Linked DNA regions of Lepisosteus oculatus. The protein of the gene in region 1 purifies or fractionates together with the protein of each later gene. This does not show direct contact. Links are inferred from orthologs where the notes say so. Each region holds a gene or a part of one and is shown in the gene's direction. Other genes may lie near its edges.

What was found.
Region 2: the proteins of ddx5 (region 1) and ep300a purify together in Homo sapiens (affinity purification with western blotting; 5 studies listed by BioGRID and IntAct, with this or other methods). This does not show direct contact. The link is inferred for Lepisosteus oculatus from reciprocal best matches to the Homo sapiens genes DDX5 and EP300.
Region 3: the proteins of ddx5 (region 1) and ctnnb1 purify together in Homo sapiens (affinity purification with mass spectrometry; 3 studies listed by BioGRID, with this or other methods). This does not show direct contact. The link is inferred for Lepisosteus oculatus from reciprocal best matches to the Homo sapiens genes DDX5 and CTNNB1.
Region 4: the proteins of ddx5 (region 1) and histone deacetylase 2 purify together in Homo sapiens (affinity purification with western blotting; 3 studies listed by BioGRID, with this or other methods). This does not show direct contact. The link is inferred for Lepisosteus oculatus from reciprocal best matches to the Homo sapiens genes DDX5 and HDAC2.

Annotation. Positions count from the first base shown.
Region 1 is NC_090704.1:45,522,348-45,529,418, reverse strand, and holds the start of ddx5 (probable ATP-dependent RNA helicase DDX5), read left to right. Parts: upstream 1-4,071; 5' UTR 4,072-4,231; coding exon 4,232-4,272; intron 4,273-5,021; coding exon 5,022-5,190; intron 5,191-5,540; coding exon 5,541-5,637; intron 5,638-5,757; coding exon 5,758-5,891; intron 5,892-6,209; coding exon 6,210-6,275; intron 6,276-6,385; coding exon 6,386-6,527; intron 6,528-6,615; coding exon 6,616-6,776; intron 6,777-6,859; coding exon 6,860-7,032; intron 7,033-7,071. Other genes in the region: centrosomal protein of 95 kDa, read right to left, coding at 1,294-1,315. UniProt on the Homo sapiens protein: Involved in the alternative regulation of pre-mRNA splicing; its RNA helicase activity is necessary for increasing tau exon 10 inclusion and occurs in a RBM4-dependent manner. Binds to the tau pre-mRNA in the stem-loop region downstream of exon 10.
Region 2 is NC_090707.1:38,059,149-38,067,137, reverse strand, and holds the start of ep300a (histone acetyltransferase p300), read left to right. Parts: upstream 1-4,981; 5' UTR 4,982-6,355; intron 6,356-7,667; 5' UTR 7,668-7,989. Other genes in the region: xpnpep3 (xaa-Pro aminopeptidase 3), read left to right, coding at 163-248, 576-759, 1,962-2,082, 2,627-2,793. UniProt on the Homo sapiens protein: Functions as a histone acetyltransferase and regulates transcription via chromatin remodeling. Acetylates all four core histones in nucleosomes. Histone acetylation gives an epigenetic tag for transcriptional activation.
Region 3 is NC_090705.1:42,391,092-42,398,052, forward strand, and holds the start of ctnnb1 (catenin beta-1), read left to right. Parts: upstream 1-3,960; 5' UTR 3,961-4,095; exon of another isoform or gene 4,096-4,198; intron 4,199-6,961. UniProt on the Homo sapiens protein: Key downstream component of the canonical Wnt signaling pathway.
Region 4 is NC_090697.1:5,943,686-5,951,602, reverse strand, and holds the start of histone deacetylase 2, read left to right. Parts: upstream 1-4,908; 5' UTR 4,909-5,016; coding exon 5,017-5,071; intron 5,072-6,112; coding exon 6,113-6,225; intron 6,226-6,858; coding exon 6,859-6,976; intron 6,977-7,917. UniProt on the Homo sapiens protein: Histone deacetylase that catalyzes the deacetylation of lysine residues on the N-terminal part of the core histones (H2A, H2B, H3 and H4).

The DNA of each region.
Region 1 (7,071 bases):
AGCAACAAGTTAAACAACATACAATTAAAAAAAAACATCTGTGTGAGCCAGTGGTAGGGGTAGAGTTCAGTGATCAGACAGCTTGTGGGAAGAAACAAGCTGCCGGGTTACTAGTAGTAGTAATACTAGTAGATGGCAAACAGCGCGGCACCAAAACCATCTCGACTGGCGGATTGATTAATGGTCAAGAAACTGACAGTGGCGTCCTAGCTACTGGTAGCTCGGTTTGCCATCGCTACAGACACACAAGCTGCGCTCCAGGGTCTGGAAAAATAAATTTACCATCCCAAACAAAACTGTGCAGGACCCCGGAAAGGGGGCTGTGGCACAAATCAAATGTAGAAAAAGCGTTTTGGCGAGAAAGGGGTGAACACAAGCCGGTCTATAAGCGTCACTAAATCTTTGTTGCTCATCGGCCAAGTTAGTAACTGTTGCCGCTGCAACAGCAGGGACCGGCGCCAACAGTAAAAACCGCCGCTATTATCCCGCAGTTAAAACACGATTCCCACTTCAAAAACTCCTTATACGTGCCGAAGGGTCAACGCTTTGTGTACAGGGACTCTTACTGTTGTACAGCCCCGAGTACTGTCAGCTACTAACCGTTAATTAATTTACAGCGCACTGTACTCTTCTCCCGAAGCGAAACAGTGCCACTGGCAGCCGACGATACAGTACGCCTGCACTATGAAGAGCAAACATCTATAAAAGAAAGGGAACGGCTTCTAGCAGCGAAGTGATTAAAAAAATAAATAAAATCAATAAAACTACACAGCAAAAACAGAACCACAACCACAACATACCCCCTGTTCTGTTGGGCTTCTTGTTTTTGCGATCTACCTGATCTATCAAAACACTCCGTGCTGATTTGTAATTTCATTCAACCCAAAGCGGGCACCCAGAAAAGTAGCCGAACAAAAGGTGACATTTTCTCGAAAGGCCCTTGTCCCATTCAACCCTGGGTATAGAGGGATATTTATCTTATCCAAACGGCGCTTTAAATTATTAAGCAGATGCAGCAGCTGTATTGAATACAGCCGCAGCAGCAGCAGACCAGGACAGAAGACAGATAAAAATCTTTGTGCTAGCCCGTCCCTCGTCGTGATATAACCTGTCCGCGATCTGACAGCCTTTACAACCACATCTTTGAAGCACAGACGGAACACGGAACAGCTGGGCAAGACCGGTGAAGATAAACGATTTCGTCTGGGGTTTTATTTAAAAAGAAACGCAGGACAGGGTCTCAAGAGCGCCCTGTGGGTTAATCTGACAGAGGAGGGGTTCCTTTCCACTGACCTTTTTCCTCTTGCGTTCCCATGAATGGTATGTTCCCAAAGCAAATCGTTATGTGTCCAAAACCAACAAAAACGAGAAGTGCAGATGAGGTGGTGGATCTGAAGATAACGCACAGCTCTGTAGCTCAGCTTCACGGTCTGAACCAGCCTCGGACATTTAAAACACGGGAGTCTTCCCATTGGCTGCCGAGAACAGCGCCCCGATCCCGGATATGACGTAAAGCCAACGGAAAACCAAGAAGGCGTCAAGAGCATTTTTTCATTTTTTTTCCATTTAAGTGTCCTCTTCTCGCGATCTTGTTTGTAAAAATGCCGATTTTTTTTTCAGTTTATTTCACACTGCGCATTTCTTGTTTTCGCCCGTTAAAGGTGACGCCCCCATGACGTTTGGGTTGACGTCATTTCCCGGCAAAGGAAGGCACAGCCGGTTGCTGTGCTGTGCTGTGCTGTGCTGTCCTGCTGGCGATGCCTCCGAGCTTAGAAATAGACCCTTTCACTAAAACAAACTGTTTTTTTTATATAGGTGCGGTTACAGATTCCGTCCCGTTGGTGTACTTTTTGTAAAAACGGGATGGTTGATTCCAAGTGCTGCTACCAAAATGAATTTTACGTGGCAAAACACGTAAAATAAAAAGTCCAGGAAATGACCCAACTGCACACTTCCTTGGAGACGGATTAGACAGGGCTGTTATTTACAGAGACTCACTGGACACGCTGGTGACGGAGGCTGGGTCTTACCCTGTAAATACATCGCGCAAATTGCGATTCAGACTCTCGGTGTGGTCGTGTACTTGGACTAGGCGATAGACTATTGAGAACCGGAGACTGTTTTTGTATTTCAATAAAGGAAACGGTGGTGGGTTGTATTGCCCGTGCCCGGGACAGGTGCTGTTTAACAAAATGCCTTGTTTGAGATACGACTAGGGGGAGGACACAAGTGGAAATTATTGCAACACCTGTACCTTTTCTGAAACAGATATTGAAAGAACATTTTCTTCTCCCGTCACGGTTCGACAACCTCCTGGCACTTGGTATGTTCTTGGCCAAAATAATAGCAGTATTCGTGGACTTTTGAGGAGTTCAGGTGGGTAGCTGCGTCAGCCTGCGCAGGCTGCAAAGGAACAAGTAACAGGTTTATTCCCTGCTGAACAGAGAAGAAAGAAAACACAACGTTTCGGCCGTGGAGCCTTCTTCAGGTGTGAAAAAGTATCCACGGCCGAAACGTTGAGTTTTCTTTCTTCTCTGTTCAGCAGGGAATAAACATGTTACTTGTAACTTTTAAGGATATTGTTCTTGGTGTTCCAAATCCAAATCCAAGGAAGTTCGTATAATGGTAAACGTCATTCTGATGTTAGCAAAATATTACGTGTAGAATTAAAAAAAAACTACAATGTGCTTTAACTCACCTAAGCTATACTCAAATTCACAAAAAATATTTTAAAAATAACCTTGACGAGTTGGTCTACAAAAATCTTCTGGCATATAAATTTAATGTAACCCCTAACACCACTGAACCTCGGTACTGTGGAGAATTTGTTTTTTGTTTCACTCACCTGATGTTACCGTTGTTCTATCATGTTGTGACATTTGTATGTAATAATAATAATTGCTTACACGTATATAGCGCTTTTCTTTACAGGTAATGGGGATCCCCTCCACCCCCACCTGGATGATGCTCCAGTCTGCTCCCCACACACCAGCTCTCAGTGGGGAGGAGAGCAGAGTGATGAAGCCAGTTCAGAGAGGGGGGTTATTAGGAGGCCATGACTGGTAAAGATCAGGGGGAAATTTGGCCAGGACGCTGGGGTAACACCCCTACTCCTTAAGAGAAACACCCTGGGATTTTTAATGATCACAGAGAGTCAGGACCTCGGTTTTACGTCTCATCTGAAGGACGGCGCCTGTTTACAGTACAGTGTCCCCGTCACTATACTGGGGCATTAGGACCCACATGGACTGCAGGGTGAGCGCCCCCTGCTGGCCCCACTAACACCTCTTCCTGTTTATGTATATACCCCTGGTTGTTGTATTTCCTTCCCCTTTTTGCATTTGAAAAATAATAAAAACCTTTTAAAAAAGTGTAAATTTCCTGGGCGGGGTGGGGTGTGTGGGTGGTTAGAAACGCCAACATTTGGCGCTGCTTTACACAAATAGGCGTGAGGGCGTGGAACAATCTACTCAACCACGTTGTCAAAGCCGACACCCCGGCTTCTTTCAGGAACGGGCGGATGGGGCGCCCGGATCAATTCACTGCCACCCACCAAACGGGCTTTCTGGCCTGAATGACCTCGTCTCGTTTGTGACCACGATTGCGAATGTGCCCCACGTCCCCACACACCGAGCAACAATAGTGAAAGACCCTCTAAAGGCGGTTAACACGACGCACCGACGCACTCCTGTCGTATTTTTTTGTTTTGTTTTTGGACTCAGACCAACTACTAAAGTGACGACGACGATTAACTTCTAATAACAAAGAACGCGTTTAAAATAACCAAACAACCCCCCCCCCCAAAAAAAAAAGATCCTAAGCCACCTACGTTATATAGCATTTTATGGAGCAAAACAGAAAATTGGTCATTGTAGTTGCCACTTCCACAGTACTTTTGTTTGTGTAATGCAACAGAAACGCTTGCTCTCCAACCCCATCCAGCTCGGCCGCCATTGCGCGCAACAGAGCAGCGTGAGGTCATAGTACCGGCTGCAGGCGGAGGGATACGCCATGTGTGCTGCGGTCTCGCGAGGCTCCGTTTCCTGTTGCTATATAAACCGGCTTCTGTGCGCGAGGAACCGGCATTTTCAGCGTTACCACTGCCGGCAACTGAGAGGAAGGATCCCGCCTAGGAAGTCGAAAATTTAAGAAATTAGCCAGTTAAACGCTGCTGTAACGCAAGAATATATATATCTATTTTTTAAATCCCAAGCTTTCTTTTTCCCGCATCATGCCTGGTTTTTCTGACAGAGACCGTGGGAGAGATAGAGGGTAAGTCGGGGGGTACGAATGTAAAATGGCTGACACGAGTTTGATTTGAAATAAAACGTGATGTATGTTTTGGGTTTGTGTATTTTGCGCCGATTATTCTGCTTGTGAGTTAGTGTGGCTAGTAGTCGGGGTTTTTTTTTTTTAGAAATAATAGGTCGTTTTTCCCGGGGAACGACGATCGACTAATCTGTGTGCGTGTGTGTCTGAAACGTCTCGTTAGTTTAAAACTGTTAGTGTTGTAGTTTGACTGTGAACGAGTGACGTGGATTTCGGGGCTTGGGTCCGAAATGCGGGTGTGGGAGGAAAAAAAACATTCCTCCATTTTTTTCCCCCCTCCCCGGTGTGCTCGCCATGTGACGACGGGTTCAAAGATGTGGAGACAAAATGCCGGCCGGCCGGCGTCTTTGTTCCTCTGCTGGTCAGAAGCAAAATGGCAGCGGCTTAAAATGTGACGCAGAAACAAATCTTAAAAAGGGGGGCAGGCGTGGGTGCGATTCGCACAGGGACGTCGCGGAGCCGAATCTTTTCAGTGCAGGTTGCCGGAATCTCATCTTTAATCTTTTAAAGACGAATCCCCCACCCCCATGGCACTGTAATGATGGCGCTTACGTGGCCCCGTTGTTTTACCCAAGCGAGACGCATTTCTCGCCGCCATCTCGGAGAGAGCTTCTGCCGTTTTCGTTGTGTTTTTTTTTTTACATAAAAACGTCTTTCCGTCTGTTGAGCTTCCCGTTTTGCCGTCGTTTCAGTTTTGGCGGCGCGCCGCGGTTCGGGGGCAGCCGAGGCGGGGCCCCCCCGGGAAAGAAGTTCGGGAACCCCGGCGAGCGGCTGCGGAAGAAGCACTGGAACCTGGACGAGCTGCCCAAGTTCGAGAAGAACTTCTACAAGGAGCACGCCGACGTGACCCGCAGGACCGCGGTGAGTCGCCCGCACGGGTGCGGCAGCCTCCAGGGGTTGCGATGCGGGTCCTGAGACCGTTGCTGTTTTATCTCTTGATACCCCCCCCCCGGTTAAAAATGATTTAGGACTTGGTGATGAAGCAGTTAGGGATTCCTTGAAGGGAGAAAGTAGGTGTGAAGACTCACCTGCAGGTTCAGTCTCCGTTATCCCCCCCGGGGTGTTTCGCTCCTGTAACTGTCCAGCTGGAAGACTTGCGTAAATGAGAACGTGCCGGACGAGGGCCGCTGGACTGGGCGGCTGTGTGACGCTGTAGCTCTGGAGGGTGGTCAGTTTTTTTTTTCCTCAATGGGCTTATTTTCTTACTGCAGCAAGAAGTGGAGCAGTACAGGAGGAGCAAGGAAGTCACCGTGAAGTGCAGGGATTGTCCAAACCCCATAATGAAGTTCCATGAAGCAAGCTTCCCATGTAAGTCTGAGCCAGGATGCAAACGGAGCACGCTTCCTGTTTTTGTGCTTCAAAGGTTTAAGTGCACTTGAAGGTGCTTTGAAGTCCTCGTTCAAGTCTAAATCGGTCTTCCTTTTCCAGCCTATGTAATGGACGTGATCACCAAACAGAATTTTACCGAACCTACCCCCATTCAAGCACAAGGCTGGCCGGTGGCGTTGAGTGGGAAGGATATGGTTGGGATTGCACAGACTGGATCTGGGAAAACGCTCTCGGTAAGGTCAATCGTGACGCCTTATAGGAAGGGTTTTAACTGATGTCAAGTCTAGGTGTGGAAGGTGGTGGCAGAATCCTAGGAATGTGCTTCTCGTGTTGGAGATTATGGTAATCCTGTAAAGGTTGGTCACTTGCTCACTGCCCCCATTTGGAACACCGTGCAGCCCATTGTCGATCTGACTCCTGCCCATCCACATGAGTCAATATAATGTAGTCTTTTTCTTTGATTGTAATAGTCCTTAAGTTAACTGAATTCAATTAACTTAACATGTTTATTAAATGCCATGTTCCATAATGTTCAAATTCTTTTGTTGCAGTATTTGTTGCCAGCAATTGTACACATCAACCACCAACCATTCCTTGAACATGGAGATGGTCCCATTGTAAGTGTTTCAGTTTACACAGCGATTTTTTTTTTTTAAAGTGTTAATGTTTCGCCAACCTAAATAAATTCCATCCTATATTCTAATATATTCTAACCCCCTTCTTACAGTGCCTGGTACTGGCTCCAACCAGAGAGCTGGCTCAGCAAGTCCAGCAGGTTGCTGCTGAATACGGTAGAGCCTCCAGACTGAAGTCCACGTGCATCTATGGGGGCGCCCCTAAAGGACCTCAGATCCGTGACTTGGAGAGAGGTATGTCCATACTTGTCTTGCTCGGGTCCGTTGCTGTGGTTTTCACCCTTCTGGGAGCAGATAAAGAGCTCTTCTCCACCTCTTGTAGGCGTCGAGATCTGCATTGCCACACCTGGAAGGCTCATCGACTTCCTGGAAGTCGGAAAGACGAATCTCCGCCGATGCACTTACCTGGTACTTGACGAGGCCGACAGAATGCTTGACATGGGCTTTGAGCCGCAGATCAGGAAGATCGTAGATCAGATCAGGGTAGGTCTTCCCACTCCCGAAGCTTCAAGGTCTTGCTGGGTTAATGCTGGAGACAAATTGACTTTTTATTTCCCCCCTTCCAGCCGGACAGGCAAACCCTGATGTGGAGCGCTACCTGGCCGAAGGAGGTTCGGCAACTGGCGGAGGACTTTCTGAAGGAGTATGTCCAGATCAATGTGGGGGCACTGCAGCTGAGTGCCAACCACAACATCCTGCAGATTGTGGATGTGTGCAATGATGGGGAGAAGGATGACAAGTGAGTTCCAGAGCTGTTGTTCCTGTTTGAGTTGGGTTG
Region 2 (7,989 bases), on another chromosome or scaffold:
CACAGGCTGCGCAGACTGACTGACACACACTCTACACAGGCTGCGCAGACTGACTGACACACACACACACTCTACACAGGCTGCGCAGACTGACTGACACACTCGGTGCAGACCTGCGGACAGTCACTGGGTGACACACACTCTCTCCCTCTCCTCTCTCAGGACGGGGAGATGGTCCTGCTGGACGGGGGGTGTGAGTATTTTGGCTATGTCAGCGACGTCACCCGCACCTGGCCGGTGAACGGCAGGTAAGGGCCGTCTCGTGAGAAATGAATTAACGTGCCGGTGGGGGGGTGCACCTTGAGCACTTGGGGGTGCCTCTTCATTATTCAGGCCGAAACAGAAGGTCCCCAGGAGAGGGTGGGGGGGCGTCTTCGCAGGCAGGCAGACTGACAGCTCTGACCCCCCCTGCGCAGAGCAGGCCATGAGACGATATGTCCGGGCGCCGATCTCCAAGGGTTGATCTCCGTGCCCGTCTGTGCAAGTCGACCCAGCCCGGGGCAGCAAGCTGGGAGTGTCCGGCGCCCCCTGCTGGCCAGCTGCGCGCGCTGCTCAGGCTGCCTGTCCCTCTGCAGGTTCTCCCCGCCCCAGGCGGAGCTGTACCAGGCCGTGCTGGACATCCAGGGGGCCTGCCTGACCCTGTGCTCCCCGGGCGTCAGTCTGGACAGCATCTACAGCCACATGCTGCGCCTGCTGGGCGCCAGGCTGAAGGACCTGGGTATCGTCAGCTCCAGGGCCGGCGACGCCGACACGCACCGGGTAACTACAGCGCCCCCCGCTGGCCGGCCGCGGTACTTCAGTGGGGATTGTCACGCCGACACGCTTGCGCGGTTAAGCGTCGGCTCCTTTCTGGACACTGCGTCAGAGTGCACCGTCGCCGTAACACACAGCGGGTGACTACAGCGCCCCCCGCTGGACCGTGGCATATTGACTGCTCCCCCATCCGTCGTCGGGAGTCTCACTCGATCCCCCCCTGTCTCTTGAGCCCTGAGAAGACTTTGATTGAGAAGTCTTTTTCGGACCCTATAGAGATATTGCCGGCATCAGGCAGTTTCTCTCCGTGTCCGATGCCCAGTGCCTGATTGGTGCATTTATACTGGAACATGAGGCCGATTTCCACAGCTCTCCCCTGTGTGGGCTCCCCAGCACCCTCCTCTGTCAGCTGCACCTCCACTTCTTCCTCACTCCAGGCCTGGCCAGCGCCTCCCCCCGCCCCCCGCACTGGGGTCGTCAAAGCCCGGCAGGCGCGACAAGGTCCTGTCCCTGACCCCTGGGGCTCTGAGTCGCTTGTCTGAACTGCTCCTGTAGGCTCCGGGCAGCGGAGGCTGGCCCTCTCCTCGCTGCGCCCAGGCCTAGCGGTGGCCGAGCCCGGTCAGTCGCTGCTCCAGCGGGACGGACAGCCCTCCCCCCCGACCCCACGAGAGACAGTCTCTGCCTCTCTTCAGATCTCCACTCGAAACTCCCCTTTCTAGCAGGGCCCTCGTCGGCTTGCCCTGCGTGTTCCGGTGTCGTTTTTTTTTCCCCGTTTACTTTTAATCGTGCTTTTTGTTTAATCTGGTCTTCAACACCACGTACAGCGTCCTTGTGTCTAGAGATGATTATTTACTTTGTCAGCTTTTTAGCGCGATGCACAAGACGGCTAGCAAACCAGGGGAGTCTGGGCAGCCAGTCTGGCCCCTATGCCAGCTGGACAGGCAGCCAGACGCAGGCCCCTGGACAACACTTACTGCTGTGTCTTATTTCTGCTCCCCTGATGTTCGGATGTTCACTGTGGCAGCTACCGATGTGTCGAGTTTCTGTTTTGCTGCTCGGAGGAGGTGTGTTGCGGGCAGCTGTTTCTGTGCCAGCGCCCAGCTCGGGACAGCGGGTTTGTAGTCCTCTCCTCCGCTGGGGGAGACGGCCCGTGTCCCACTGCCTCTCTGACACGGCGGCGTGCTCTCTCTCTCTTCTGCCCCCTGCAGGCAGCCAGGCGCTACTGCCCTCACCACGTGGGGCACTACCTGGGCATGGACGTCCACGACACGCCTGACCTGTCCCGGGCACAACCGCTCCGCCCTGGCATGGCCATCACCATCGAACTGGGTACGAGACTCAGTGCAGTGTTAATGTGCTGGAGTGTCCAGTCAGTGTGTCTGTGTGAACCCCTCTCTCTCTCAGTGCAGTGTTCATGTACTGGAGTGTCCAGTCAGTGTGTCTGTATGAACCCCTCTCTCTCTCAGTGCAGTGTTCATGTACTGGAGTGTCCAGTCAGTGTGTCTGTATGAACCCCTCTCTCTCTCAGTGCAGTGTTCATGTACTGGAGTGTCCAGTCAGTGTGTCTGTATGAACCCCTCTCTCTCTCTCTCAGTGCAGTGTTCATGTACTGGAGTGTCCAGTCAGTGTGTCTGTATGAACCCCCCTCTCTCTCTCAGTGCAGTGTTCATGTACTGGAGTGTCCAGTCAGTGTGTCTGTATGAACCCCTCTCTCTCTCAGTGCAGTGTTCATGTACTGGAGTGTCCAGTCAGTGTGTCTGTATGAACCCCTCTCTCTCTCAGTGCAGTGTTCATGTACTGGAGTGTCCAGTCAGTGTGTCTGTATGAACCCCTCTCTCTCTCTCAGTCTCAGTCTCCTTTCTGTCTCCCCCAGGTCTGTACATCCCAGAGGATGACAGCAGCTGTCCGGAGCGATTCCGAGGGATGGGCGTGAGGATCGAGGATGACGTGCTCATCAGGGAGGAGGAGGAGGGTCCCCTGGTCCTGTCCGCCAACACCCCCAAAACCATGGAGGAGATCGAGAGGGCCTGCCGACAGTGACCGGGACTAACGGGGCAGGGGGGGGGTGGATGGGGTGAAGGAGAGCAGCTGGTAGAGGAACACAGACTTTTTAAACGCGCCCCGCTTCGGCCCCGCGCGGTATGCTCCCCTGGGTCAAGTCGTGGACGGTGGACACGGCGCCGCACGGATCTTCCGTTTCAGAGACGATCGGGTCAGTGGCGCTGACCGCCTCAGGACCCGGCAGCCCCACCCCGTTGATTACACGGGCCCGGGGGGGTGGGGGACCCGGTTGGAAAGAGGGGGTGCAGGTTTCTTCGGGGCCCGAACCGAAGCGAAACGGTTCTTTCGCGAAAGCTTCGACGGCGCCCCCCCCGCGGGACCCTCGCTCACGCGCTGCCCGAGGGGCTGTTCCGCGCCCCGCTCCTGGGCGGGGAGGGAGGGCAGAGGGCAGCCGAGCCGGGAGTTCTGCGGCGCCGGTCCAGGCGGGGCTCCGGGCTGGTACCCGGGAGGTGGTGGGTTCGAATCCCAGGGGTTCTGACGTCAGGGTGTTCCTCGGATCCCGGGGGGGGACCCGTGAGGACTGAGGCTCACCGCTCTGTGTTACCGGTTCGGCTGCGCCGGTCCGAGAGGCCGGGACTCTTGTGATCCGGCTTCTCCTGGTCTCCCTGTCTCCGGGTCTGTGTGCCTGTCCCTGAATAATAAAGTGTGGGATGCTCGGAGCTCTGCGTTCTGGGGTGCGGGCTGCGAGGGCTGTGTCTGTGTTTAGAAACGATCTTTCAAAGACCTTGATATTGGGTTCCAATACCCAGCTAATACAGAGATACCGTACTGTAAAAAGGCACTGTTCTTCGGGGGATGTGTAAAATCAAGGTGCTGACTCCGATCATTAAAAATCCCGGGGTGTATTGGAAAAGAGTAGGGGTGTCACCCCAGTGTCCTGGCCAAATCTCCCCCTGGCCTTTACCAGTCATGGCCTCCTAATAACCCCCCCTCTCTGAACTGGCTCCATCACTCTGCTCTCCTCCCCACTGGGAGCTGGTGTGTGGGGAGCAGACTGGAGCATCATCCAGGTGGGGCTGCACATTGGTGGTGGTGGAGGGGATCCCCATGACCTGTCCAGCGCTGTGAGTGGGGTGTCCAGAAGGGTGCTGTAGAAGTGTGAGGAATCATTCTCTCACAGGACAGCTGACCTTGTCCACTGGGCTTGGCTCACCGGACTGACGCCCCCTCAACCCTGCCCAGGCGGGGCTATGTGGGTCCCCTCCCTTCTCCCCTGATAGAACCCCCTACCCCCCCCTCTTTTTATAGTTCCTGTCTCCCCAGATTCTCCAGGTACCGCACCAGTACATTACAGGGACTTTACTGAACCCTGAACACTCACACACAGAGACATGGAGTGATTCTGTCATGCTCCCTGCCTTCACAGCAGCAGTTGAACTGAGTGTTCAACAGCTGTCGGTCCCACACTCGTCTGTCCACTGCTGAGCGATGTGTCCCCTCCTCAAATGAACTTTTTCTAAGTGCATCGCGCCTGTACCAACTGCAGGTGGGATGGTGAGACAGTGAGGTGCAGATCTCCCCAGAGTTTGGACCCAAGGAAGGCTGCAGGAGGGGGTAACTGGTGTTGGGGAGGGGGTTATTATTTTGGGAGAATAAGCAGACAGAGCTCCCAGCTGGCGTGAGCCTGGCCAGTACCTGGAGGGGAGACCTTAGGATGAGACGTAAAACCGAGGTCCTGACTCTCTGTGGTCGTTAGAAATCCCACATTGTTTCTCGACAAGATTAGGGGTGTAACCCCGGTGTCCTGGCCAAATCTCCCCCTGGCCTTTACCCATCATGGCCTCCTAATAACTCCCCTCTCTTGAACTGGCTCCATCACTCTGCTCTCCTCCCCACTGGGAGCTGGTGTGTGGGGAGCGGACTGGAGCATCATCCAGGTGGGGGATGGAGGGTGGTGGTGGTGGAGGGGATCCCCCACGACCTGTACAGCGTACAGCGTGAGTGGAGTGTCCAGAAAAGCGCTGCATAAGTGTAAGCAATTATGATGATGACGGTGATCTTCGAGCGCCCCCTGGCGTCGGTCACCCGCTAGCGCCGTTCCGGAAAAGAGCGAGTCCGGGGGGTTTCCGGAAATTCCCGAACACAACCCCCCCGCCTCCTCCTCCTCTTTTTCGAATACATCGCCGCTCTGCTCTCTAGCTTACCCTCCCCCCCCCTCCGCTCCCGTGTCGGAGGAGTAGAAACAACAAGCCGCCATTTTGTTTGCGCGGAGAGACCGAGCGCGGCTGGAGAGACCCGAGAGAGGGAGCGACCACAGCGCCGAGCACAGCGACCCGGAGAGCGGCCGCCCGACCAGCCCGGAGCCGACACAGCGGCAGCGTGGACCCGGAGAAGACGGCGAGAGACGGGGGGCACAGCGCGGAAACGGAGAGTCGGGGACGAGGACAAGGAAGAGGAGCGAGAGAGAGAGAGAGGAGAGAGAAAAAAAGAAGAAGGGAGAGAAAATCCGCTTTTAAGACGTCCAAGGAAGGAAAGAAGGGGGGATTTTTTTTTCTCTTTTCACGCGGAGCGGAGGACAAGCGGAAGCTGGGGAGCATTTTCTGCGTTTTAGAAACGGAGGGACGCTGAAAAGGCGACGGGAGGGAAAAAAAAATTCTTTTGGAAGTGGGGGGGGGGGTTGGTGGCGGCGGCGGTGGTGGAGAAATACAAGCGCATCGCGTCCGGAGACGAAGAATTATTATTAAAAATAATATTCATCCTCCTCCTCCTCCTCCTCCACCGAGCGAGCGGGGGGAGACATACGAGCAGACGTACACACGGAGGGAGAGAGAGAGAGAGGAGACGAGGAAATATCGGCGAAACGGGAACCCCAACCGTTAGAGAGCGGAGAGAAGACGAAGGATTGCTTTTTTTTTTTAAGAAAAAAGGGGGGGAGCAGACGGATATAATCGACCCCGCAGGCAGGCGGCGAGAGACGGGGGTTTGAGGGTCACCACACAAAAGACTCCGGGGGGGGGACGTGCGCTTTCCTTTCTGCTGGCGTGGAGGGGAGACTCCCGGGTTTCTTTAAATGCCCCCAGCCCCGCCGCTCGCTCAGTTCACCCCCTGAATCATAGCAGCGACACCCCCATCTCCCATCCGCCCGGTCCGGACTCCAGCACGCCGGGGGGGGGCACCGACTCCTCGCCATCGCCGGGACCCAGCACATCGCGCCGTTGGAGAGGACCGACGAGAGGCGACCTGTCCCGTTTGCACCACGCCGGCCATCCCTCCCTCCTCCTCCTCCTCCTCCTCCTGTGCGGCCGGAGACCCCCCACCCCGGTGCCGGTGTCTGCCGGGCGGGTTGAATCCGGTGGCGGCCGTCCTGCGCGCAGTTTGTGCGTGTTTTTGGGCTCCGGGACAAGCGTGGCCACCCCGCACCGGCAGGAGCGGCACGGCGGCTCCTTCTTCCACAGTTGTGTTGGGAACCAAGGAAGAACAGTGGATTGAAAATCCGTTTTGAGCCCTGGCGTGGCCCAGACGCCGTGAGATAACAAGGGATACCTGTGCATCTGCGTCCGTCATAACCAAGACTCTCCCCGGCGTCAACCTGCGCTTTCTTGTAAGGTGGCATTCAAAAAAACCTAATAATAATCATCATAATAATCATATCTGAACCCCGTTTTGTTTTTTGTTTTTTAATTCCAACATATTACACAGAGAGAGGGCGCAAGATCGCGAAGTGATCGATACTGTGACAACTAGTTTTTTTTTCCACCCCTGAAAGACTGCTGACCGTCACAATGCGAGAAACAAAGTCACATTAGCCCGCCGCTGACATCACTAGAGTGAAACCAAACACTTATTTTTTTTGTAATAAGTGGGTTTTTTTTGTTGTTGTTGTTGTTGTGGTAATTAATAAAAGAGAGGGGCGCCCTGACCAAGTTGCAGTTTTTGAAACCGGGCATGCCAAACCTTTCCTCTCTGGTCATGTGCTAGCGTAGCGGCCCGGTGTTGTGAACTTCCGTTGCAGATCGATCCCCCCCAAAAAAAAGCTGCAAGAAATACAAACGGGTTTTTTTTTTTACTTTAAAAAAATAAAAAACATTGCCAAAGTTGACCCCCCACCACCACCACCACCACCCAAAGTTTCAGCCCTTGCAGCTCAATCAAGCGCTTTGATTGAGTTTGGCAATCGATAGAGGCGATCATCCTCACCGGCCAGGTCTCCCAAACATTTTTAAAAGAAGCCCTCATTCCCGCTTTGAAAAAAAACACGGCGTGAAGCGCGGCTCCACGAAAAAACAACAACTTTTTCATATCGATCACAGATATCGGGAGGCGCCTCGGAAGGTATCGCATCCCACTCGCGCCGATACGACACGCCGGGGAGACGATTAAGTCGTTCGCCCGGTTTGTCGTACCCTCACAGAAATCGACTTTATTTAATTTTTTTTAATCAATTTCTAACACCCGCCGGCAGATGTGCGTGTGATCATGCGCATTGATCGGAAGTTGCTCCCGTTTCTCTGAGCCGGTCTCAGCTGTTCGTGTGAGGTGAGGGGGGTGTTAGAGAGAGTTGGGGGGTACAGGCGGGTCCGAGGGGAGGGAGGTGGGGTGTGACCGACCTGGGCGCCCGTAGGGCCAGCCCGTCCCGAACCGAGCCCGAACCCGGCGTGCGCCCTTTTACGAAGAAAGAAAATATATATATTTTTTTTTAAAAAACCCAACACAAGTATTACCTTTCCAGGACGGGGGGGTGGGGATGGCGTCGGGGGTTTTGTATTGTGAAGAATAATTACCTCCTGGCCCTCGTTCGGGTGCGACTTTTTTTTAACCTCGTCTCTCTCTTTCTCTCTCCCCTCCTTCTTCATTTAATTTTTTTCCACCCTCCCCAAACCCACCTACCCACCACCACCAACAACAACAAAAAGGGAAATAATTCAGATTATCTCTCGCCTTGGCCTCCGGAGATGGTAGAAAACGCAGACGGAGCCCTGGAGGACCCTGCCCGGGACATCTTGATCTGCGCCGAGGAAGCTACATGAGTTAATCCGGAGGGCCTTTCTCTCTCCCAGCGACTCGGAGACTTTCTCTTCCTCCTCCCCTCCTCCTCCTCCCGTCACTACTACTACAACTACTACTGCTGCAGCAGCTAGGAGCCGAAATCTGTGAAGGAGCAACACCACAACACAACCCAAAAAACGCCCGGAGGAGGAGGGGAGGGGAAGTTTTGAACGCCAAATCCGAAAAAGA
Region 3 (6,961 bases), on another chromosome or scaffold:
CATCTATTCCGTTCAGTGTTTAGCTTTAAGGTTTAAACAATTCCACCAGTCGTTAACGTTTGAAGGCCTAAAGCACTCTGGTAACCTAAGTGCAGATCAGGGGTGTCAAACTCCATCCCTGAAGGAACTCTATATTCCAATCCAAGGAGTCAATTAAACAATTAACCTAATTATTTTCTTAGTTTGACAGAAACAGGCTGTTTCTTAACCTTTTTCACGGTTCATTACTTAAGTCATTACAGGTTCAATTACCTGTAGAACATCTTAGGTTTTCCAGTTACACAGATGTTAAATAATTGTCAGGTAGGTTACTGAGAGCTCAGGTGGACCAGACACCAGACATGGTGGGAAAAGGACTGAATTGAGTCCCTTGCTCTACAGACGCCAAAGTGTTGTTTTGTCAGATAAACAAAGTGTTGGATGAATAACATGTTTATGCGTTTACGTGGGAAGTGTCCACGTGAATACAGAAAAATCACAGAACATTTAAAACAACAAGTCACCTGTGTCGTGTGGTCCACGTGTTTCTACTGATTGCTTCACTTCAGATGATATTTCACCCAACACGTGCGTCCTGTTTTCAGTTCCATAACAACACGATAAAAGAAAAAGTTCCAATTAACAATCAATTATGACCGCATGTAACACACTGGATTTGGAAGCGCTAGAAAAAGCCCTCTGAAACTACATAAGTAGGACAAATGTTAGCCATGAGAGATACGGCAGTGGATATCTGGAGGCTTACCCAGACACTTCCAGGTGTTCTGCTCATTAAATCGTGTTGTAACATTGCGCTTTAAATTTGTCAATAAAAACAGATTTCGGAACTCGTGGTTCCTGTGTATTCTGCTCTTCTGGAGACACCCACTGCCTCCCTGGGCTCATCCGGGGCGTGCATAGCGCCGAGGACCCACTGCTCGCCTCATGACGTGCCATCCACGGAGGAGCGCATGTTTATGGGACGCCCTGTCGTTTCCAGAAACCTCCGCCATCCCACGAGTCTCGCCGGACCCGCAAAGCTTCAAAGTGCGTCGCTCGGCTGGAATCCTAGGTCCCGTGTTTTGGTGTCTTCCTATCTAATCGCAGTATAGTTAAAATGGCTGAAACGTTGAAGGGGGGGTCCCAGTTACCTGATCCCATCACAGCCCGTGAGAGGTGGGATGCTGACCTCCATGTCCCTGCACACTCCTGCTCCACGCCTCCCCAATCTGGCCTACCCGGCGCTCCTTCTTAATTTCACCTGGTGAAGCTCTGTCTCACCGCGGCACGCAGCCTGCCGTGTAGTGAGTGGGCCTGCTGCCCGTTATTAGCTGGGCTCTGCGTGGTGGGTCCACTCCCATATCTTTTCATTTGGGGATTAAAGGGGCTATATGAATACCAGGAATTATAATTAACAATAACCGTATACCTTTTTGTTATGAATATTGTTTGTGCAAGCATGCTCAAACACGATGTGCATGCTCCAAATGCAGCTCATGGACAGCAAATGATTACATTCTTGTGTGCAGAAAACAAAAGACCACTTACCATAATCATTTCTGATTACGTGCACAGAGAGAGACTGTATTTTAAACCTGTGTACTGGGCTATAAATATATATTCAGAAGCAATGCAGACCATTGTATATTAATGTAACCAGAATGCAGGTTTAAGAAATGACAGTTGTAACTTATACATCAGCACCACAAGACGATAACTACAGTCCTCAGAGGACAAGCGGTAGAAAAATATTATGACAAAATAATCACCATTTCTTGTTATTACAAAGCGATTTGTGCAAGTCACCACTGTCATGCTGAAGAACTGAACATCTTCCCCAAGCAGACTGTGCGAAGAGCTTTACTTCTGTGCTTAAATCGCAGAAATAAGGGAGAGTAGTAAAAACAGTTATGAAAATAACAAAAGCTACTGTATTTTTTTTACTCATGAAGAAATTTACTTCTTCAAACTCGGAATCGTAAAACCACTGGATAACAAAATATAAAGCAGTAATTCACTGCCAACTGAAGATAAGTACAATTTATGTACATCAGACTAATGCTATATATTTATTGAGTAAATTTAGTAAAAAATAATTATTTTTTTACGAATCCCTAACAGTTTGTGTTGACTGTGAGCTTGTTCGTTTTTTTAAACAACATTTATGATTCCATTAATTTAACCAATCTACGTGGTCATACACATATCTTCACGGCGGACAGAGCGACGTCTCCCAGTGTCAACCCACACCGGAGGCAACTCGGACACAATCCAAGGCGCTCCTCTCAGCAGCCGTGCGAGGGACTGCGCTCCCACTCGGCACAGCCGAAGACACGGGCCGTCCCCAACAAAACAAAACAAAACAAAACAAAAAGGCGTGTTTTCACAAGACTCGCACCTGCCTGGGTTCTAGGAACACCTTGTAATGCTTTACCGGAAAAAAATGACGATGCACCACAGTGTGAGTGTGGGAGCCGACGGAGGGAAAAAAGAAAAAGGTGAAAACAGGTTGTATGTTGTGCAAAGCGACGTCACTCGCCGCCGGTGTGAAGATGCCTGTTATACCACACGCACCCACAATAATGAGAGAGTCGCGTATTCGGTGAGGTGGCAGCAGCCTATAGACTGTCTTATAAGAACAGGGTGTGAGGAGTGGACAGGGGGACACTACACCCCCAATAAGACTCCAGACCACCGCAGGGCTCCAGACTTCGCTCGCGTTCGGTGTGGGTGCCCCTTCCGCCGAGAATGGCATCGATTCCGCTGTGAGACCATTGCGTCACCGACGCGTCACCAGCGTGTGCGGGTTCGAAACCAAGAGAAGAGTGACGTCAGCCCTGCCCCACGGGCGACCGGGTGTCGCGCGTCCCCCCGGCGAGACGCGGCCGTGATTCCCCATCCCCAACACAGCTGACTGGCGCACTGTATCGCCTCATGATGTTACACTGTGTTTTAAAACTGTATCCTGCATGCGATTGTGTTAGAGGACCGTCGGGGCTGGCGGGTTCAGTGACTGTATCTCATCGCCCGTCCTGCCGGGCAACACTGAAGAAACAGCTCTGATCGGGTCGCTCTCGGCTGCTTTCACACTTTCCACCTCGGTGCGAGGTGACATTGTGACACAGCTGACTTGTTTTTTTAAAAACAGTGCTCTTCAAACGGAAAGCCGCATAAATGAAACCACGGATTTCCACTGCTACGTCTCGTAAAACGAATGAAAGGGCTTTAAGTTGCGCTAGCTGGGGTGTTTTTTGTTGTTGCTGTAGTTGGCGATCCGCTGCCCTGTTCCTGGGGCGCCTGTGCCGTCCGATGGTTTCCTGTCGACCACGACACGCACGCTGGGGGTCGGACCGGGGGCCGGCAAGGACACCCCGTAAAAAAACACAACCCCCTACCAGCGCATCGCCGTGACCCCCCCATGCTTTATTTATTTAAAAAAAAAAACTGGAAACAAAATGAGATCTGAAGTGTTCTCTTGTTTTCCACGGGTGCACCCGTGGGTCGGGTCTGCTCGGTCACTGGAGGACAAAGGTCCCCGGAGTGCACACCGAGGCGGGTCTCCCCTCGCCCTGCGGTTCGGCTGGGAACCCTCCGTGACCCACACCTCACTCACCCTCACCCACTCCCACACCCACTCGCATTCCAGCCTCATGAATAGGTACCTCGCCGCCACCGCACCTCCCGTATCCCTGCGCACTCTCTAACCCCTCACCCCCCTCCTCCCGCCGCGAGGGCACAGTGAAACAGAACAAAAAACAACAACGGCGAAACCCAACACAACACGAACGACCCGAAGCGCGCAGACGTTAAAGCCGCGACAGGACAGCGGGTCGGGCCCGTTTTGTGTTGTTCGGCTTGTGTTGTTGTGGTTGGCGTTGCTCTTTTTTTTTTTCCAAGGGGGGGGGCCGGGAGGCGGAGCGCGGATGGAGGGCTCTACTTTCCGCGGCAGGATACAGCGGCCCCGGGAGGCGTTATAAGAGCCCGTCTCCGCCGGCCGCCATTTTGAGTCTCTCTGTCCGCTTCCTGTGGCGGAGCTGCTGTTGGGCTGCGGCGGTGGACGAGCGCCTTTTCGGCTTCGATTTCTTCGCTTTCCCTACCCCTCCGTCCTCGCCGAAGGTGGTTTATTGCTGCTTCTCCTCGCCCTTTCCAGCGCCTCGCACGACGAGCCGAGCCGGGCCGGTCCGCGCCGGGGACGGAGAGAGGCGGTGTGCCGCGGTAGGTGAGCCCCGGGCCGGCCGGCAGGCAGGCAGGCTGGGCGCCCGGCGGGGTGGCCCGGCTCTCTCTCTCGGGCTGTCTCTCCCCACTCGGGACCTGCAGTGGGCTGCGTGTGCGTGTCGGGGGTCCGGGGCTGTCGGGCTGCTCTCTCCCGGTGCCACCGCCGGGAGAGTTGGAGTCCGGACGGGCCGTGAGGTGTGGTGATCGTGGGTCCCGTGTGTGTGTGTGCATGTGGACGGGGAGGAGGAGTGGGGGGGTGCGTGGGGCTTGGAAATCTCGAGTTTATCCCACCCTCGAGGAACTGCTCGAGCTCGCGTGGGGTGGTGGTGGGGTTGCGCTCGCGTGCGGTTCATCGTGTTTTTTTTTTCTTTCCTCCTCCACCCCCCCCGGTTTGCGTGGCTCGGTAGCGAGTTGTTGTTTTTGCTTGATGGGGGGGGAGGCGGGCAGGCAGGAGGGCGTGAAGCTGCGGGCGTGGTGGCGCCTGAACTTCGTGCGCCGTGTTGTTGTTGCTGGTGGGAGTGGGGCGCTGAGAGGCTGAATGACCCCCCCGCCCCCGGGGGGCTGCTGGCCTGCCGGTCCCCTCGCCCCGCCGGCCGGACAGAGGCCGGAGCGGAAGGCGGGGAGGAGCCTGAGTGAAACCCGAGAGCCCGCACTGCGCGCCGGGCTGCGGGGCCGTGGGGCCCGTGGGGGTGGGGAGCCCCCCCCTCCCCACGCACGAAGACTGTAGCCGCGCTCCGGGAAATGCCCAGCGCTTTAACTTTGGGGTGGCGTTTTGTTTGAACGGGAAGGGAAGTTGGGTGGTCGACCCCTCCCCCCCCCCCCCGGGTGGGTGAGTGTGGAGCACAGAGCCGCGGTCGTGACCCGGACTCCCGTGGCTGCTTCCTGCTCGTTAGCCGTGAGAGTGGGCTGGGGGCACCTCTGTATTTGTCCAGCTGCGAGTAAGGTCCTGCGGGGGGTTCAACTGCCCCTGCTCTGAGTAAGGTCCTGCGGGGGGTTCAACTGCCCCGGCTCTGAGTAAGGTCCTGCGGGGGGTTCAACTGCCCCGGCTCTGAGTAAGGTCCTGCGGGGGGTTCAACTGCCCCGGCTCTGAGTAAGGTCCTGCGGGGGGGTTCAACTGCCCCGGCTCTGAGTAAGGTCCTGCGGGGGGTTCAACTGCCCCGGCTCTGAGTAAGGTCCTGCGGGGGGTTCAACTGCCCCGGCTCTGAGTAAGGTCCTGCGGGGGGTTCAACTGCCCCGGCTCTGAGTAAGGTCCTGCGGGGGGTTCAACTGCCCCGGCTCTGAGTAAGGTCCTGTGGGGGGTTCAACTGCCCCGGCTCTGAGTAAGGTCCTGCGGGGGGTTCAACTGCCCCGGCTCTGAGTAAGGTCCTGCGGGGGGGTTCAACTGCCCCGGCTCTGAGTAAGGTCCTGGAGGGGGGAACTGCAGATCAACAGGTGACTTCGGGGGAGCGCTTACAGCCCCGAGCCCCAGAGCAGTCAGGTGGAGCCGAGGTTCTGGTTCAGCCTGAGCCCTGGCTGTGTGGCTCTGTTGCGCGGAGGGCTGGGCTGTGTGCCGCTCAGGCTGGCTTGCGAGGAGCTGGAGCGAGGCAGTGCAGAGGCAGGCGAAGCTGGAGGCTTCGGGGTCGTGTTTCACTGCTCGGCGGTTTTGGGGGGAGGTGTGCTAGCAGCCTGCCTTTCCTTTGAAGATTTCTGCACCAAATGAGTTCCATATGTGTGAGGGAGGTGCAGGCGGCTGTCTGGAAGCTGGGGGCCGAGAGCCCAACAGCAGATCTTTTATTTCTTCACCACGAGCCCTTTCAGCTGCAGCGCGGAGAAGTGCCGAAGTGAGCAGAGCTCAGGCATTCCTCTCGGCCTGTGGAAAAAATGCGGTTGCGCTGGCCTGTGGGGAGGAGGGTGGGGTGGGATTTCATAGTGGACTGGTGGCACTGGTGTGCTTCAGGTTAGGCAGTGGCAGACTCAGGGGGTTGTGGGACTGAAACTTGGCGTGAGATGTTTGGTCATGTGTGCCCTACATAATACATACTCTGCTGCATAGGTGGGGTTGTGGCACGCTTACTTGTGAGCGCTTGGTGGTTTCTTTGTTTGCGTTATCTGAAAGGTCTATGCTAAACCTTGATTGAGATCAGTTAGGTGATTTGCTCTGGGTGGAAAATGCCAGAAATGGTATGTTCTCCATGGTGGAGGTTAAAGGGCTCAAAATGAGACAGAGACCTATCGGACTTGATGTTTTAAGACACCCCCAACACAGTCAGGTTTTTTACATTTATACACAATAAGATCTGTGTTGACTAACCTAGATTTGCCCCGACTGTTTTATGATTAATCTTGGCAAAACTAATCTCTCAAACATGTCCACAACCTGGAATGCTACAGCTACGAACAACAGCGCTTTAAAGGTGTTTTACTGTTGATCAAGTTGGGAACAGTCAGGATTTTCATAGAGAACTAATCAACTGTTTCTTCTTCCTGAGTACTGCAACTAAGTGTTATTGGTTGTAGGCTGTTTATTTTTTGTTAGCGGTAATTGGTGGGGGGTGGGGGTGTCTGTACAAGAGGTGTGGTGTAGGTAAATAAAGATTTCCTGCCTCCTGGTTCAAGAATGACTTGTGAATTAAGGGTTATTACCCCGATCCTCAATATGCTTGTGTGTAGAAGTGAATCAAATCTTTGTTTATAATCTTTATAACTGGATTTGATTAAAATAAAAGCAGATTAGAATAGTTTAGAAGTTTTTGGACATAGTCACATAAAACGTAGTTTTCCCTTTTGC
Region 4 (7,917 bases), on another chromosome or scaffold:
ACCTGCACTAATCATTGCATGTAACGCAGTCAATGTAGTCCAGCACCCTCATTGATATTTTTAGCTGAATTATTGTGTTAATATATGATTTTGCAGGACATTATGTTCTTTCCTCTTAAAAAGTTGTGTGGTTTTCCACCATATCTGTTTTTTCGGCAGTAATCTGGGTGGTGCAGAGAGCACCATGAGGATAGCTATGCATAAGGTTAGCTGTCGATGAATGACATTACACCTGGTGTTTTGAAGTTACATTGTGCGGTAATTGGAAAATGAAAAAATGCAAATTAAATGTGTTACAGCAGGATTAATAACTCTTCTCATACTGGATTTTATCTCAAGCTATCCATGGCAATTCACAAAGGTTCTCTATTATGGGCCTCCTGTTGATAAATATTAATCATCTAGAAATTTCAGGATGGCAGGCACTGACACAAGTTCATAATTGCATGTATGATGTTAGTGACAAGAATGTTTCAGGTTTGCCTTCCCCAAAGATCAAAATCTATTAATCAGCAGTTTATGTGTCAGGAAATATCTAAAAACCTTCTATTACTGTCATTTAAAAGATTGCTTGGATTGCTTAAATTGCACAAATTGCATAATTTCTTAAGAGTTTGATTATTGGTTTTCTTGTTGAAATTGTGGATGGGCCCATAAGAAGTTTACCTAGTTTTTTTATAAATCATTTTATACACATGTATATTATAACTTTATATTATAAAAATCACAGGAAAAAAATAACAAAGTAAAGTTTTAATGACACCTGACACTTCCATTACTGCTGAATAATTTATGTTTGTGTGACCTAAATTTAAGTTGGCTCATTTTTTTTTCTGTCCTGGAGTTTGAAAACGTTGTAAAAACAATGAACTGATACTATTTTTACTCAAAAGAAAAATGTGTGCTGCCACTTTTTTGTCATTATGACAAAGGCTAAATTGGGCAGTTAGTGACACGGTGGTTAACGTTGTTCTTCGCAGTGTTGGGTTCAATTCCAGAGCTGAGGTGCTGTCGGCATGGAGTTTGTATGTAATTCCCTGAATTTGCATGGGTTTTCACTGCTCACTTCAGTTTCTTCCCACAATCCGAAGACATACCCTATCTAAACGAACTGGTGTGGTGTGTCTGTGTTTGTGTCTGTCTGCACTGTAATGGACTGGCATGTCATCCAGGTTTGCTTCCTGGGATAGGCTCTGACACCCCAGTGACCTTCAATTGGATCAAATGGATGGATGTCTTCATGTAAAATCCAGATTTTGCAGGAAAAATAAAATATGCAAGAAACTTAAATTCAATCAATTTAATATAATGTGATTTCCTAGAAACTGCTAAACTGCATATGCAATAAGCATGTTGCTCTTTTAGGAATATAAATTTATAGGTTTTAATAGCAAATACCATTGAAAAAGAACTCTCCCCATATTATACTGTGTTCATGCAGGTATTCAAAGACTTCAACCTTTTGTGGTCCCTTTTCCATATCTGTGCTTTTCAAAGACTTAACCTGTGACTTGATTTGAAAGTGCTTTAGTTTTCATGGTTGAGTCTTTGCCTGAAATTCACTACGTGGCCAAATGCACGTTTTCTGAAACCATTAATTACTGTAGGTGGCTCGCGCAGGTACAGTAATACTGTGCATGTAAATTCATTTCCATTTGCACAGGAAAGGGTTTGAATCTTATGCTATCATCACCTTTCCATTTTTCATTCATATTAATTATAAAGTTACTTATTTGTTTTTGCTTAGAATGTGTGGAGTAGGTCGTGTATATAACAAATATTAATTGTTACTTTTAGGCTTTAAAGCAACAAAATCTGAAAACTGTGCCAAGCACTGTATGCTGATGTGTAATCCAATTAGATTAGTGTTTGTGCAGAAATTAGAAAGCAAAATATAACAAGTATTGGTTAGCTCTTTGCTGAAAAGTATAAAGCAAATATTTTCTTAGTTTCTTTCTTTTGAATGGAATCAATCTCTCTTTCTTCCTTTGTAGTTTGCATGGTACAGAATTAATTTAATTTTCATGATGTTTCTGCTTCTTATAGACACAGTAATATTTCTATAGAGAACTGAATTTCCCATCCAAGAATGTAGTTATATCCAGACTGGTTAATGATATACCAGTATATGCATGAAACTTGTCATATTAAGATTAACAAGATGACACAAAATGATAAGATTAACAAGTTGGTAAAAAGCAGTTGAACGTCAAATAGGGAACAATGAAGGTTATGTTTTTTGGTTTGCATGTCTTATACTAAATTGGATACAGTTCAAGGATAACATTCTATTCCTTTCTATTTTTTGCTACTTACTAAAGTACAAATGTAGGGAAGGTTGTAATGTTTCACTGAAAATTCACAGGAAAAATGTCAACAAAGTAATTGTATGTTTTTCTGAAGGTCTCTTTTTCTTTGAATTATGTCAGCTTCCATCACAGAAAGAAGCAGAATAATTTACTGTATATTCTGGTATCGCATGGCCTGATGTAAATCTAACTTAAAAATAAGAGACCCATGGGTGCCAAGTTATAATTAGTCAATGATATTCTGAAGTTTACATTGATATTTTAGTCCTGCTACGTATTGGGCTTAGTATTTAGTCATAGGACAAAGTATCTTACTGAGGCAGTTACCCAGAGGGACAGGGAAAAATTTTATTAAAGTGTTTTTACTGAAAAGAGGAAAAATGAGTCTAATGACTATCACACAGCGCAGATAAAGTGCAGCCTCCAACTACAAACTGATGTCTAGAAAACCATTATACAGTACAATACGTAATGACTCTGTGTTCCCATATACAGAACCTGCAGCTCTCACAGAAATTGAAAAGTATTATTTTTCCAGCTTTCCTTCATGCTTTAAAAGATGTTTAATCAGTAAAGCAGTTCTGTATTTTTCATTATGACATAAATGATCACAATGAAGGTTAGCTGTATGTTGAGATTAATACACAAAGTCCTAGAGGCAGGTTCAATAATTTAACCCTAACTATATTTCTTATGAGCCCCTTTGTTGGATCATGTGCTTTTTGAGAAAGCTATCCTGCACCATTTGAAATGAGTTTCTCAGCATTTATATTCCATTCAGGCACACTAGGCTCATAGCTCCTCTCTACACCAGGACTGATATTTCAGAATGAAGGTTTCTCATTTTTATTTCACTGTGGGAATCAATAATGGATTAGTGAATTAATAGACCTAATGCAACGACTTTTGTTATCTGGTGCACCATACCAGGGCATCCGTGTGGAGGTCTCAGATTAACAGGAAACATGCACGGGCCTACAGGCTTAAAGTATGAAGAGTCATTGATCGATTCCATTTTCTCAGGGAAAGAAAAAGAACTAAAGCTTTTGAACAACTGGCAGCCAATCAGTACCCATTTTAATAGTAAAGCAAAACCTACTGAAGCTCCTTCCAGGGAGCCCTGACTGACTTTTCCATTCCCTGTCTAGAGTCTGACAAGTTCTATAGAGAACTGTGAAACTACATGAACAGACAGCTCTGGAATCAAGAGGTATCCCTGGTAAGGGGAGACATTTAGAAACTTGGTATCATTTATCCAAGGAATACTCAAGTTTGAAGCACTTGCATTTGTACAGTACTAGGTACTCATACACAGTATTTTATAGATTATGTCAGGAAACCTGAACCCTAACCCTGGAAAGCCCCAGTCCTGTATTTTTAAAAAATTCTCTAAAGCATTTTTGGCATAGACCAGACATATTAAGCAATGAAATGAGTAATTTGTGAAGCTGAGGGAACACCTGTCCTTGAGGACTGAAAATGTAAGTTCCTACTGATCTATAAATTATTTCACGTAACAAAGAAGTAATTACAGTTGATCACAAGTCATTGTGCCAAGCTTTTAGACATCAGTGATTGAAGGGTTTCCTATAAAACCCCAATCAATTGAACAGAAGAACATGTGAAAGGTTATAGCAAGAGGAGGCTGTCTGGTCCGTCTAGCCTGTTAGGTTGTTGGTAACTAATTGCTCCAGAGGTCTCATCCAAAAGTTTCTTGCAAGAAACCAGAGTATCAGCTTCAACAACATGGTTTGGTAGCCTGTTCCAGACTCCAAAGGAATGATTTCTGTTTTAGGTTTTGAAGGCACTTCACCACAGTTTCATCTTGTGTCATCTGATCCGTTTTACTATTCCTTTCGAAGAAACCATCTGTGTTGATTTTAGCTATAAATCAAAAGATAAATACCATAAGATTATAGGCAAATCGCTTCACTCTCACTGATTGGTTTCCGATTCCCAGATGATTTCACTACTAAATACAATGAGAACAGTAAAAAAAAAAAGATATCAGAATTCAGATCGGATGCGCTGTGTTAACTTGGCTTTGCACTTTCACACATCTTTATTACTGCACTGCTAAGTAACAAAGGCCTGACCCTTGAATATTGCTCTCATCATTTTAACAACAGCTATCCCAGTTGTATTAGAATCATCAAACACTTTTTATAACATTTTTATAGAAGACACTTAAATTGCCATTCAAGAAGCTAACTCTTTACATTTTACTTTTTTTTTTGGTACAGACGGATACTTTATTTCTGTTAGTACAGTACTTCAAAAACATGACCGGTATAGATCACATTTATTCATATATTGGATATAGTGCTTTGTCCTGCTGACGACGGCATAACTGGTATCTAAAATTATTTCTGTTCGTGTTAGTAGCCTCACACAACCCTGGATCAGAAGTGGCTTCACCATCTACAAATGATCAGCGAGATACCAATAAATAATATATTGTTTTACTTCAATGATTGACGCACTAAGGCCCGTCGGTGTTACAGAGTGTGTTGATGGACAGCTGGAATATTTCCGTCTTCTTTATTCAGTCCGATGCTCGGCGCTGGATATAAGACACCCCCACCACCACACGGCCCACCTCTTTCTCGTCAGTGTACCGCCCCGCTCCCCGTCTTTCCTTATCTCTCCGCCGAAAATATAACCAGCTTCCGTCGACCCGACATCACCTTTCGATCAGAGAGTAATCATGGCATATACCCTCCAAGGCGGTTTAAAGAAGAAAGTCTGCTACTATTATGACGGTACGAGACCCTGCAGTCCTGTTCCTGCTTTGCAGTTATTATTTATACAATAGACGACGGGGGTGACGCTCACAATGAGAGAGGGGCCGAGTGAAGACGAGAGGGACAAGAGACGGGTGGCCGGGTTTAGTGTGTCTAAATGTAACGCAAAATGTAAAATCGTGTCTCGCAGCTGATATTTCTTTTTACATCGACTGTAACCGCATAATTGAAAGTTACAACGCGTTTGAAACTGATTTTACGTTGAACCCCCGAGAGTCGATGCGAACATTTCGCGTACCTCAGCCGTAATAATACACAGAAACATCACGCACGATGGCCACTGCGCAGCAGTTGTGCGTTTATAATTTCTGTTTTAAAAGTTGTTGTTTGTTTTTTTGGAGGGGGGGGGGTTAGGTTAGCGAGGTGTCCCGACTGCAGTGCTGAATCAAATTAAATACTCAGAAGTTGTTCATTGCCGCCAAGGCCTAGTGGCGACGGGAACAAAACAAAACCATACACTGCGCATGTCCGCCTTCATCCAAAACAAAACCGTCTCCTTCCGTCGTCAGAGCCATTAGCGCTGTTTTCTTTACAGATTTAGTAGGTATCGCCCGTTTTCTTTATAGACGCCACGGAAAATGTAGCTATCGCTACTCACCAGCACCAAAACGGTTACACTATCCCGCGTATATTTGCTTTCTTTAATACCTGCCTACGTGTGATTAAACTGCAAGCGGATTGTGCTTCTCTAAAGTACGTTGACGCCAGGACATGTGGCCTCCTCGCGTTATGGAAATGAGCCCGACGCAAAAAAACAACAACAACAAAACAATCTTCATCGTTTAATTTGTAATTATTGCGTCTCTTAAGTGAAGATTTGTTTGCCAAAATGTAAATGTGGACTTAAGTCCACAGCAGGAAAAGGTGTCCCTTAACATCTTAGAAATAAATGGCACTGAATGGTTTATTAATAAAAGAGTTTTGTATTTCTTTCAATACGAAGAATTTGAATAAGTCATGCCCAGTTTTGTCTGTTAACCTTTACTTTTTATTATTCAGGTGACATTGGAAACTATTATTATGGACAGGGGCATCCCATGAAACCTCACAGAATTCGCATGACCCACAACTTGCTTTTAAACTATGGGCTTTACAGGAAAATGGAAATCTATGTAAGTCTTGAAGTGTAATGACAGATTACACTTCCGCTGAACATGTGTCTGTTGCATTGCTGTCTTTAAGTGTTTGCCAAGCATCGCTTCACAAGTCAGCATTATTGCCATTTCACTTATCTACAGTGTGCATTTTATTCAATTTGCATGTTGTTGTACCTGTTGTTTCCTTCCTACTTACAGGTCATTTAAACTTTGTATTACAATGAAAATTCACCTTAGAACAGGGCACCTGCTAAACAGAGAAATACCTCTATGATTAGTTATCATGCAGACACTAAAGCAGAGGACTGATGTACTTTAGCCACGGAAGCAGTATGTGAAAATGCTCTTATTCCGCTCAGTGTGTAGGTTCATAGTGTAATATATCTGGACTCTTTTTTCTTAGGATAGCAAAATTCTTTATGAAAGTAAGCAATAGAATAAATAAATAAGGGAGCATTAGTACTATTTGATCAGTTGTAAATACATTATAATGTAGATTTAAATATTGGCATTTTAATATATTTATTATATACATAGTTATATTGTTCCTGTATGTATGATACTAAAATGCCATTGGGATATTTATTTCTTGTTTCTGTCTTGTGTTTAACTCTGTTGATTGGATTATGTTCATTTTTGTGTCTGCAGAGACCTCATAAGGCCACAGCTGAAGAAATGACAAAGTACCACAGTGATGATTACATCAAGTTCCTCAGATCAATCAGAACAGAAAACATGTCTGAATTCAGCAAACAAATGCAAAGATGTGAGCATTGCAACTTTTCAGACAGTTTGAGATCTTGTCTAATCAAACACTTCACTGTAGATTAATTGCAAAACTTATGTAAGAATCTGTTAAATCTGTTTTACAGATGTTGTTTTTTTCTAGCGCCTGACTAGGAATACAATACTAATTAAAAAAGACCTTACTGAGTTAATTACTTATTTTTGGTTAGCTTACCATTTTTGTCTTTATATCACAAATCATACCTAATTTATAATTATAAAGTAATTATGTAAAGCAGCTAAACCATATAGAATATAGATTTTTAAATACATCACTGGCTGTCATTTTACCTGGACATATCACGTTTATGGTATCATTAACGTGAAGAAAACGACAGTTGAAACAACTGTTTCTCCTGTCTGGTTCTCTGGTTGATTGTTTTTGATAGATATTTAGCAGATAGTATTTCTGTAGATTCATCTGTTAAATTGGTTTTGCTGTCCAATAACGGAGAATGTTCAGGGACGATAATATAAAGAAAGAAGGCATCCAGCTCAGTTATTAACCAAATAATTGTTTTTAAACAAGATCTTGCTGCTTCAAGTATTGGTGAGGCTGCAAGACTTGTTTTGCTAGATGCTATTAATATTCTCAGAATTAAAAATAATCAGTGGTTTACAAAATGTACTGTACAGTACATTGGTTGTAGTTAAGATGTAAAAATAAAAAATGGAAATTGGGGACTATTATACTATTAATTGCAATACTGTTTATATATTATAACCTGAGTGACTGATATGACCACATGTGCGTGGACGTCCATTTGTCTTTGACGAACACGTCTGAAATGTTAGTAGATGTTTATCATTCTGGGTATTCAGAGTTATCTGTACTATTTATAGGATGACAGTGTGAGCTATTAAGGCATGATCTGTTTAACTATTAACCTCCCGAAATGTATGCGTCGCATTCTTTTATAG